Saccharomyces cerevisiae S288C: one gene and its partner. The gene in region 2 interacts genetically with the main gene of each other region. Each region holds a gene or a part of one and is shown on either strand. Other genes may lie near its edges. The genes, in order: NAM2 and BI4.

Evidence for each region.
Region 1: of BI4 (region 2) and NAM2, changing one suppresses a phenotype caused by changing the other (phenotypic suppression), as found in Saccharomyces cerevisiae (one study listed by BioGRID).

Annotation. Positions count from the first base shown.
Region 1 is NC_001144.5:881,248-886,323, forward strand, and holds NAM2 (leucine--tRNA ligase NAM2), read right to left. Parts: upstream 3,505-5,076; coding exon 820-3,504; downstream 1-819. Other genes in the region: CTF3 (Ctf3p), read left to right, coding at 1-677; DNA repair protein SMC6, read left to right, coding at 4,041-5,076. UniProt on the Saccharomyces cerevisiae protein: Catalyzes the attachment of leucine to tRNA(Leu) in the mitochondrion.
Region 2 is NC_001224.1:34,505-42,738, reverse strand, and holds BI4 (intron-encoded RNA maturase bI4), read right to left. Parts: upstream 6,200-8,234; coding exon 5,785-6,199; intron 5,017-5,784; coding exon 5,003-5,016; coding exon of another isoform or gene 4,160-5,002; intron 3,599-4,159; coding exon 3,522-3,598; coding exon of another isoform or gene 2,474-3,521; intron 1,899-2,473; coding exon 488-1,898; downstream 1-487. Other genes in the region: COB (cytochrome b), read right to left, coding at 181-231, 1,649-1,898, 3,522-3,598, 5,003-5,016, 5,785-6,199; cytochrome b mRNA maturase bI2, read right to left, coding at 4,160-5,016, 5,785-6,199; cytochrome b mRNA maturase bI3, read right to left, coding at 2,474-3,598, 5,003-5,016, 5,785-6,199. UniProt on the Saccharomyces cerevisiae protein: Mitochondrial mRNA maturase required for splicing of intron 4 of the cytochrome b (COB) gene, containing its own coding sequence, and intron 4 in COX1, coding for the related homing endonuclease aI4.

The DNA of each region.
Region 1 (5,076 bases), on a different chromosome or scaffold from region 2:
CGATGGCTTTCATCAGCTCGTTAGATATTTTAACTCAACTGTCGAAACAAACGAAGTCGGATTATGCGATCCAATATTTGATTGTGGGCCCTGACATCATGAATAAAGTGTTCAGTTCGGACGATCCTTTGCTATTATCAGCTGCGTGCAGGTACTTGGTTGCTACGAAAAATAAATTGATGCAATACCCGTCAACAAACAAATTCGTTCGGATGCAGAACCAATATATCATGGATTTGACAAATTATCTTTACAGGAATAAAGTTCTGTCATCCAAAAGTTTGTTTGGAGTCTCACCAGATTTCTTTAAGCAGATTTTGGAGAATCTTTATATCCCAACTGCAGACTTCAAGAACGCTAAATTTTTCACGATAACTGGTATACCAGCGCTATCCTACATATGTATTATTATTCTAAGACGACTGGAAACGGCCGAAAATACCAAAATAAAATTCACCAGTGGGATCATAAATGAAGAGACGTTTAACAATTTCTTTCGAGTTCATCATGATGAGATTGGCCAGCATGGTTGGATAAAGGGCGTTAATAACATTCACGACTTGAGAGTAAAGATTTTAATGCATTTGAGTAACACTGCTAATCCATATAGAGACATTGCAGCATTCTTGTTTACATATTTGAAGAGTCTCTCAAAGTATAGCGTTCAAAATTCTTAGAATATGCATCCACATTTATATACATATATATATATATATATATATTATAACTTCCAAAAAGGAGATTGGACAATTTATATCTATAAGGCATTAATATTTAACTATTTACAAGCACTAGTGGTAAATTCATGGCGTCATATGATTACTTGTGGAATAAGAAACTAATCACATTGAATTTCATGACAAATTTTTTGATTTTTTTATTCATCAAATACATTCTCCCTTCCGGTAAGTTCATCAAAGTTTCAATAACAGCATCCCTACCTAATTTCAAAAAGTTTTTGTCAGCCGTGTACATGAATTTGACTCTGCCATTTACCACAATTTGAAACTTTTTGAATTTGGACTCAGTAGTGCGCTCAACTTCTGGCCAGCGGTATTGGTTCCATTCCATTTGGGAGTTGATCATCTCTGCAGCTTCTTCTGAAATTGACGGGACAGCAGGATATATAACGGTTACCAACTTTTGTAAATTCTGTACTATCATTTCATTCCTTACTTCACCTTTTTTCAATGCACTTTCTAAAATATTGGTTAGCTTCATATAATCAGATATTACAGTGTTTAACGATAGATTAACTTCAAATGATTCCGTAATTGATTTCAAGAAGCGTTGGAAATCGTTGTGAAATTTCACTTCTGCATCATTTAAGTCGGTCGGGGTCTTGTAGTCTTTACTTATTGCCAAATCCTTCTCGAGACTGAGAATATTTTTGGTCAAATGAAGAACCTTCTGCAACCAACGTTCTATACCAACAATCTTGGATTCATCCCAATTCAGGGCATCTGCAATTGGACTTTGGAAGAGGATATGTGCTCTCGTAGCATCAGGTCCATGTCTTAAAATACATTCATTTGGATCTGCACCATTGTATTTAGATTTCGACATTTTTTCATAAGAGACTACCGGAACCTTGCCATTTGATTTAATAATCACTGTGTTGCCATCTGGAGAGTCATTTACAAAGGTTAACTCGTCAGGCTTCAAAAATTTACCAGAATCGGGGTCAACATAGGTTTTCCCTTGAACCATTCCTTGTGTCACCAGTTTTTTGAATGGTTCGAAGATGCCAGCAGGGTCGCTCCATGCATTGATAGATCCGAGAAATTTAGCAATAAACCTTGAGTATAACAAGTGTAAGATAGCATGTTCTACTCCACCAATATAAATATCAACCGGCATATTTTTACTTGCAATTTCACGATCAAATGGTTTTGAAGTGTTTTTGGGATCCAAGAATCTGAAATAATACCAAGAACTATCGATAAAAGTATCCATGGTGTCAGTTTCTCTTTTCGCAGGGCTCCCGCATGAAGGACAGGCGACATTTACAAATTCATCGATTGTGGACAGCGGATTCCCTTTTGTATCCAAGCCTTCAAGTTCTGGTAGCTTGACAGGTAGATCACTTTCTGGAACGGGGACAGGTCCACAGTTGTCGCAGTGAATGATGGGTATTGGAGTACCCCAGTATCTTTGTCTACTTATCAGCCAATCTCTAATTTTGTATCTAACGACGCTCTTAGACAGTCCTTCGCTATTCAACATCCCCATTATCGATTTCCTTGCCACTACAGTGAGAACTCCTGAGTGTTCTCCGCATTCTTTGGTTAGGACACCGTCAGTAGATGTGAACGGGACAGTATCAATTATTCTTTGTCTTTCCTGTTCAGTTACTTTTGAAGCATCGTCAAAAAAAGGTGCTATGCACGTCTTGATATGTTCACCAGGACAATTTGTTTGCCAAAACTCAAAATCTCGGTTATCGTGTCCTGGACAACCCATTACTGCACTAGGTGCTGAACCATAGCTGCTGACCACATATGGAGCTGCAAATATGGGGACTTCCTCTTTAGTTAAGGGATTTACGGCCTTTATGTTAGGTAACTGAAATCCTTCCTTCGTATCGTTTGGTAATTGATCACTTTTCTGTATAAACTCTTTTAAATCCGGCATTTCCTCGCAGTATTTTTGTACAATTGGGTGGTCTAATGCGAGAGCAACATACTGTACAGCAAAAAGAGTTTCCGGTCTTGTTGTAAAGACAATCAAGTTTTCAAATTTGGGGTCCGCAACTTTGAACACTAATTCTGCACCCACAGATTCGCCTATCCAATTTTTTTGCATTTGCTTCACGTTGGAAGGCCAGTCCTTCAGTTGGTTCAAGTGCTTTTTCAATTTAGGAGCGAATTTCGTTATTCCCAAAAACCACTGTTTTAGCTGCTTCTTTTCCACAATAGCCCCTGATCTCCAAGAACGGCCCTGGGCATCCACTTGTTCATTAGCCAAAACTGTCATATCAACGGGATCCCAATTAATTTCTGCTTCTTTACGATAAGCTAAGCCATTTTCAAAAAGTTTTAAGAAAATCCATTGGGTGAATTTATAGTATTCGGGATCACATGTAGTTATTTCTCTGTCCCAATCAAAATTTGCCAGCATACTTTGCATTTGTTGTTTCATTTTTGCAATATTGTCCCTAGTCCATATGGCCGGATTAATGCTTCTTTCTATAGCAGCGTTCTCGGCAGGTAACCCAAAAGCATCCCATCCCATCGGATGTATCACGTTGTACCCTTTTTGTTTGTAAAATCTATTCAAAGAGTCGCTAATGACATAAACTCGGAGATGTCCTATGTGAAGCGCCCCAGAAGGATATGGAAACTGGCACAGAATATATTTCGACCCGCTATTCAGAGTATCCTGCTTAGGCAAGCCACGGGTTGTCTTCTGTTTCCATTTCTCCCCAATTGCAATTAATTTTTTCACTGCAGGTCCAGGGCCCCTTTTAGTGGATAGGAATCGGCTTGAAGGTCGAGACAGCATTTTTCCACCGTACACACACGTCGATTTATTCACGTACAGACTCTACAATATAGAGTACTAGCGCCTTGTTTAACACTCTGCTGTGCTCCTTCCTCCAAGTTCTTGATTCTCCACCGGAGCAACAAAACGACTTTCTTCGGTTTCTTTGATTCTTCGCGGAGATAAGAAATGAGATTCTTGGATCAAAAAGTGTGTCAGAGGTAGGGAAATGTCAAGCAAGTTCATGAACAGACCAGGAGTAGTATGGCATGGTATTAAAGATTTTTCTGTGGTATTTGATAGTTAGGCAAAAGGAACATTTTCATCCAAGTTTTATCAAAATTTCTGTTTTATAGTGAAAATTCTAAGTTAAACTTGCCAAAAACGCGTCGCGTATACTAAATTTCAATGTTTGGATCTATCAACATGAATATTTATATTTCATGTAGTGAAGTTCATAATAAGAAAAAAAGACAAGAGGCATATAGGTTCGCAAGAGATAAGTAGCTGCTGTTAATAATAATAAAGAGCATATTCTTGTTAGATTGCTAAATGGTATGATTTCGACTACGATTAGTGGTAAAAGACCTATAGAGCAGGTTGATGATGAGCTACTTTCACTGACTGCGCAGCAGGAAAACGAAGAGCAGCAGCAGCAGAGAAAACGCAGACGTCATCAATTTGCCCCCATGACACAGTTTAACAGCAATACACTAGATGAAGACAGCGGGTTTAGGAGCTCCTCTGACGTGGCCACGGCGGATCAAGATAACTTTTTGGAAGAGTCACCTTCAGGATATATTAAGAAAGTGATCTTGCGAAACTTTATGTGCCATGAACATTTTGAACTTGAGCTTGGTTCTAGGCTGAATTTTATTGTTGGTAATAATGGTAGTGGTAAAAGTGCAATTTTGACCGCCATTACTATTGGTTTGGGAGCCAAGGCTAGCGAGACTAACAGAGGTTCCTCTTTGAAGGATTTGATTCGTGAAGGTTGTTATTCTGCTAAAATCATCCTTCATCTGGATAATAGCAAGTATGGTGCTTATCAGCAAGGTATTTTTGGTAACGAAATTATAGTAGAAAGGATAATTAAGAGAGATGGGCCCGCTTCTTTTAGTTTAAGGTCGGAAAACGGCAAGGAAATTAGCAATAAGAAAAAGGATATTCAGACGGTAGTGGACTATTTTTCTGTTCCTGTAAGCAACCCCATGTGTTTCCTGTCACAAGACGCTGCTAGGTCTTTCTTAACTGCTAGTACCTCACAGGATAAGTATAGCCATTTTATGAAGGGTACTTTACTTCAAGAAATTACCGAGAATTTGCTTTACGCCAGTGCTATTCACGATAGTGCACAAGAAAATATGGCTCTGCACCTGGAGAATTTGAAGTCTTTGAAAGCTGAATACGAAGATGCCAAAAAACTGTTAAGGGAATTAAATCAGACTTCAGACTTGAACGAAAGGAAAATGCTTTTGCAAGCGAAATCGTTATGGATCGATGTTGCCCATAATACAGATGCTTGTAAAAATTTAGAGAATGAAATCAGTGGCATTCAACAGAAAGTTGATGAAGTTACTGAGAAAATTAGGA
Region 2 (8,234 bases):
TTTATTATAATTTTTCATATATTTAATATAATATATTAAATATAAATTATAAAGGAATATATATAAATAACCCCGAAAGGAGAAATAAATAATATATTTTTATTAATAATTATTATTTATTTTTTTTATATAAAATAAATAAGATTAAATAATAATAATTTTATTAATATTTTTAATATCAATAGATGCTGGTGTTACTAAAGGATTACCAGGAATATAGTTATCAGGATGCTTTTATAATAAATATAAAATGGACTATATCTTCATAAAAATTTATATTACACTATCTTATTTCATAAACTATTATTATTTCTTCAATCATGTTTAATGATCAGAATTTTATTTAATAAGATTGTAAAAATATAATCTACCGATTCATAATAATTTATATTATCTTTAACAATAATTTACAAAGATGTTATATTATTATAAGGAATCTTTAAATATTTTATAAATTAGATAATATAATAATGAATACGGAGAAAATTTAATTATTATTTCATTTTTCATTAAATTTTAATCAAGCTTTATATAAAGCAGTATTATGAGGTGCTTTAAAAGCTAATAAATCATATAAATAATAAAATTTATCAATTAAAAATAAACGTTTACCTTTATTAGATTTAGAAGGACAACTTTTATTATAAAGATAAAAAATATTATGTAATTCTTTATTATTAATAGATCATTTAAAATAACCATTTTTAGCTTTATCAAAATAAATATTACCACCAAATACTTCTCTATAGTATTCAACATCATGTAAATATTTATTTGTAACGCTAATAGTTAATTGAGGTCTAATTTTTAATTTACCGGAATAATAATAATTAATAGTACCATCAGCATCAAAGAACCCTATAAATCAAGCATTATCTTTAGTTAATTTAATAGGTTCTTTAAAATCGATATTTAATAAAATACATACTTTATTAAATTGTACTAATCTTTTACTATTACGAATATTACCATTAACGGCATTAATTAATTTAATTATACCTTCTTTATTTTGTAATCTATATCTAATAGCCTTAACACCTGATCTTAATTTTACAGAACCACCAAATTTATCTTGGATTTGTCTTAACATTTTTTCATCTTTTAATTCTACAAGAATTTCACAAGATGCATATTTATTTTTAGTAATACAAAAATAACCATCTCCGTCAATTAAACCGGCCAATCATTGGTTAAATCTAATATTACTATCTTTATAAATACTATAATGTCTTTTAAGAATAATTTGATTTATTTTTTTTATATTAAAAATATTTAATAAATAATTAAATTTATTTTTTAGTGTGCGTGTAGTCTCTGAAGTATCTACTAATAAATTCTTTTTATTACTCGTTAAGTGAGTATTAGAAGAATTTATATTGGTTACCTGCTGATTATCTTCTTTATAATAATATTTTACTCTATTGGGATTAAATAAATCACTTACAATATTTATTTTATTATATTGCTTTGTTCAATTAAATTTTAATACGAAATTATTTAATTGTTTTGTATTTAAAATATTTTGAATAATAAAATAATATAGAGTTTTATTATAAATTTTTCATTGATATTTAATAAATAAAGATTTCCAGCATACAGCACATAAAATATTAATTACATATGTAATTAATAATAAGGCCATATTTTGACCTAAAGTATTAGGTGAATAGAATACAAATAATGCTAAAATTAACATAAATAAGAAAACAGTTACTAAATCTTTAAAAATAAAGTATGAATGCATTGGAATTCTATCTAAATTACCTGTAATACCTAATGGATTAGATGAACCATGAATATGTAATGCCATTAAATGCATAATAACCATTGCAGCAATGATAAAAGGTACTAAATAATGTAACGCAAAGAATCTCTGGATTAGAGGGTTAGATACTGAGCTTTTAATGTTTAAATAGTTACATATTTGAAAACTATTATCAATATATCACTATATTGTTCGGACTATATCTTAATCCTATTTATGTATATATATAATTATATATAAATATTTATAAATGATTATATATTAATCATAATATTTATTTATAAAAAAAAAAGATAAATATTACTTCTAAAGTTTTTATTTCTTATTTATTAATCATAAATTATAATTAATAAAATTATACTTTTTAATTTATAGTTTCGATATCCTAAAATAGAAATAAAAATACCATAAAATGATAAGATTTTAATTATTAATAAAAATTAATAATGAAGGAGAAAATAAATATAATAAAATAATAAATAGTTCAAAGGAATTATTTATTGATAATAATATATTTAATATATAATTAAACTCCTTCGGGGTTCGGTCCCCCTCCCGTTAGAATAGGGAGGGGTCCCTCACTCCTCCGGGGTCCGCCCCGCGGGGCGGGCCGGACTATATTTATAATAAATAATTATATATAAATTATATTTTGTTTATATAATTATATAATATATAAATATATTATTATTATATTTTTATATAAGATTAATATTTAGGAGGAATTTTAAAATAATTATTATATTTAAGAATAAGACGTAAATCTTTTAAGAATAATAAATATTGTAATTTTTTATAACCTAATAATTTAATAGGGTTATTATTAATAAATATTACAACATTTTTAATACCATTAATACTTTTAAGTGTTATTCTTGAATTATTAAATTTATCTGTATAAATATTTTGAGTAATTTTTAAATATGATTTAATAGCTAATATAACTTCTATACTATTATTTTGAGATACTTCAAAACTAGCAAGTTTTATTTTTTTATTTATAGGTTTATAAATACTAAAACAACTTTCAGCTTCAAAAAAACCAATTAATCATGAAGAAAAATAATTTTTATTTAAAATATCTTCAAGAGTATTAAATGGTTTAATAGGACGTAAATAATAAGATAAATCATTATAATATTTAATATCTTTTAATAAATTATCTTTAAAATATAAATAATCATAATGTTTATTAGTTAATATAGGATATTTATCAAAAATAGGAATAATAATATTCTTTAAATGATTTTTATTTCTTACATTAAATTTACATATTTCTTTAATAGTACCATCTTTTATTTTTAATTTTTTAATTGTTACTTTACCAATACCTAAAATATTTTTAATTTTATATAATAATTGAATATCTCTAATATGTATTTCAATACCTAATTCATATAATAAATATTTACCTTTTTTTGAAATAGTAATTCAACCATCTCCTTCAAATAAACCACCAATATATGCATAAATAGGATTATCTGTGTTTAATTTATGATTTTTATCATAAATAATAGTATTATTTATATAATAACTATAAAGTCTCTGAATAATTAATTTTATATATATATATATATTAATTACTGCTAATTTTCTTCTTATAATAAATATTTTAACTATATTATTTTTATTTCAAATTATATTATTATAAATAATTAATTGAATAATATAGTAATTTATTATTCAAATGAAGATATTTCAGCATAAAACAGATTTATTTAATATTATATTACTATAATATGGATCCTCTATATTAAACCCACCTCATAATCAAGATACAATATCGTTACCTACAAATGGAATTGCTGAGAATAAATTAGTAATAACTAGTGCCAAGAAAATAATATTATTTATAAATTATTATTATTTTTTAATAATAATAATCTCAATATTTATTGATTTATTAATATAAATAATACCCTGTATTTAATAATATCTACCCTTTTTATAATTCCATTTAATCACTATTTTCTCTTATGAATAAATATTTATACCTAATAATACCATAATATAAATATTATATATAAATGTTATATATAAATGTTATATATAAATGTTATGATGGGGTTATTATTATAAAAATATTAATCATAATAATTATAATTCATTATTTATATATTAATTAGGTAAATGGAATAATAACAGTAGTTATATATATAATATATATATATAGATTATTAAACCTTGTGTTATAATAATAATATTATAAATTTTCTTCGAATAAACATTAAATATTATTATTTTTTTTATAATAATACCTATTATTGGTGTATTCTGTTGGGATCATATAATTATATAACCCACTGTCTTGTTACTTAATAATATAATTTTGACATGTTTTCAATAATATCGCATTATAATAATATAATAATTAATATAATACTATATATTTTATTATAAATAATTACCTAATTTATATTTTATACTAGGAATAATATAAGGAGATACAATTTTAGTTAAAATAGGTATAGATTCTTTTCATACATAAATAACAAATTGTGTATTTTCTTTATTGCCTTTAAGAATAGTAGATTTAATATTATATTTATTATGTAATAAATAAAGTAAATATTGAACATCTTTATAACTAAAACAATTAGTTGTGAATTTTAAACCTTTACCTAATTTACATCCATCATCTATAATTCAAATAGCTAAAGCTAAAGGAGTTAAATAATTGTCTAAAGATTTAGGAATAACTTTAATATTACCTTTTCCAGATATATTTTTAATATACCATTCTGAATAAATCATATTAAATGAATCATAAGTTCATGTATTAAATTTTAAATATTGTCTAATTTTACCTTTTTTACCTAATCTAGTTTTAATTAAAGGTAAATTAGTATTACAATAACCTAAATTAGCTAATAAACTATGTAAATAATATAAATAATTAATATTACAATATTCTTGTTGAAATACAATTCTTGTTCCTTTACCACCTTTTCTTTTTTCAGCATGACCATCTCCTAATATTGAACCATAAATAATTGATAAAATGTTTATATTTAATGGACCAATATTATTATTTATATCTTTCTTATTTGTTATATTTAAATTAATTATATATTTATTTTTATTAATATAATCTATACTCTTAATTAATATAAGATATTCTTTAGTTTTTATTATTTGTCTTATTATAATCGTATAAAAAATATAAATTAATAATATTAACATTATTATATAAATTAGTTTTATTATATTAAATATATTTGAGGCGATATTTATATTACCTCAATGTGACAATTGTGATAGGTAGATCTTTACAAATTTTCCCCCACTCAGAACTGTACGTACTACTTTCATAGTATACAGCTCAAACAATTTATATACTATATAAATCATCCTATATTGAAGTTAGCATGCTTTCACATTAATCATTTATTCGTTATTATTATTAATTAATTAATTAATTAATTAATAATAATATTAACCATTATTAATATATTTTTATTAAAATATATAAATAATTTGATCTATATTATACATTACATATAATCTTTAGCTTTTTCAATAGTCTTTTACCCACTTATCTATATTATAATTTCTATTATTATTTATTTAATAATATTATATATAACTACCATATAATATTTATATTAATATTATATGGAAATAATTGGGCTTACCAAGTTTATATTATTATACTTTCAATAATTCACTTAGGATTCTAATTTTATACCGATGAGTATTAACGTATATATATGTATTCTAGACAGAATTGAATATCTTACTTCTCATATAATTATTTTTATTTATTATTATTTATTAATTAATAATAGAAAAAAATATTGTTTATGTTACGATATTTTATAATATTAGATTGACTTACGCTATCCATATGAATCTTACCTTAATAATTAATAATAATTATTATTATTAGAGTTTCATACAAAATTATTACTAATAATGCATGTCTAATTAGGTATATGTTATATATAAACATAATCATTTCATTAAAATAATTTATTTAATGGTATGATATTATAATAATATACTTATACTTGTCTCACTCTGTCCATAAACACAACAATAACCTAAAAAAGCTGTAGCAATAGTTAAAATGAAAATAATAACACCTACATTTCATAATAGTACTCTTGGTGATCTATATGAACCATAATATAAACCTTTAGCCATATGCATAAACATTACCATAAAAAAGAATGATGCACCATTTGCATGTAAATATCTTAAAATATAACCATTATGCACATCTCTTATAATATGTTCAACAGATGAAAAAGCTAATTCAATATTAGATGAATAATGCATAGCCATAAAAATACCTGTTACAATTTGAATAACTAAACATAAACCTAATAATGAACCCATATTTCATCAATAATTAATTGATGATGGTTGTGGTGAATCAATAATATAACTATTCACTAAACTTAAATACACATTTGATTTTCTAAATGCCATATTATTATTATTTATTTATAAAATATTAATAATATTATTTATTACTAATATTTTATATATATTAATTAATAAAAAATATATAAATATATATTATTAATTAATACTTATTATATATATATATATTTATAATTATATATATAATTATATTATAATATTAAAAACTATTTTTTTATTATATATACATATTTTATTATATATAAATTATAATTATTAAAAAAAAAAGATATTTCTCATTTTTTTTTCATTAATATAATCCATTAAAAAAAAAAGTTAATAGATTTTATTAATATTATTATTATTATTTATTAAATATAAACCTCGCGGGCGCCAATCCGGTCAACTACTGGGTTGGTCATTGGTCCCGTGGATAATATTAATTATATTATATCATTATTAATTTTTTTAATAAAAAGTTAATAATATAATATAATATTTAAAAATATTTATTTAATAATAAATAAATAAATAAATAAATAAATAAATAAATAAATAAATAATATTGACGATTATATTAATATTAATGATATCATTATTATTTAATAATAATTAATATTATGAAAGATTTTTATATTAATATTATATAAATATAATATTAATAATTTTTATATTATTTATTAATATTGTTATTATTATTATTATATTAACAATAATTTATTGTTAATATGTTATTTATATTATTATTAATTTATATTCTCCTTTCGGGGTTCCGGCTCCCGTGACCGGGCCCCGGAACTATAAAAAAAAATAAAATAAATTATATTATTATATATTATATTAAAAAAAAAAATTAAATATATAATAATTATAGAATTAATTAATAACAATTATTATTATTATTATTATACATAAATATTATTTATATAATTTATTATAATATTTATTTAAAAATATTATAATGAAAAATATATTATATATTTTATTATAGTATAATAACAATCGGTATTTATTATTATGAATATATTATTTGTATTAAAAAAAAATATATATATATATATAATTGTATTATATAAAATGTATATTATTAATAATTATTAATTAATATAAAGAATATGTTTAATTATATATACTTTTTTTACAAATATTTATTATTATGAATAACCTTAATCGGAATCGAACCGATATTATCAACATGAAGAGGTGATGTCGTAACCATTAGACGATAAGGTCTATATTTATTAATAATATATATATATATAATTATTATTATTATTAATAAATTATAAAAATAAAATTATTATTATTATTATTAAGTTTATTATTACTATTTATTAACCTAATTAAAATTAAATTAAATAAAATAAAATAAAATAAAATAAAATAAAATAAAATAAAATAAAATAAAATAAAATAAAACTTCTTCTTTAAATAAAAAAGGGGTTCGGTTCCCACGGGGTCCCGCACTCCTTCTTAAATAGGGGTTCGGTCCCCCAAAGGGATCTATCACTCCTTCCTAAAAATAATTAAATATTTTTAATATATATATATATATACATATATATATTAATTTTATTAATTCATTTAAAATTTATATTTATTAATATAATTTATATATTTATCTTATTCCTCCTTTCGGGGTTCCGGCTCCCGTGGCCGGGCCCCGGAACTATTAATATATAAATTGAATTATAATTATTTTATATTATTTTTATATATTACTTATATAATATTTCTTATAATTATATTAAGATTATATATATAAATAGGTTATTATATATTATTATATATATATACTTATTAATTAAATATATTTATATTTTATATTAATGAAGTAAATATTTTATTTAATATATATATATATATATAAATTTATTTATTATAAATTATATTCTTTTTATATTTATATTTATTATTAATTAATTAATTAATTAATTAATTAATTAATTAATTAATTAAATTATTATAATTGTTATTATAAATTATAATTATTATTATTATTTTATTTTTAATAAAATTATTATAATATTAAAAAAGGGAGATAAATAATATTTATATAATCTCCTTTTGGGATTCCGGTCTTTGGCCTGGTATCCAAAAC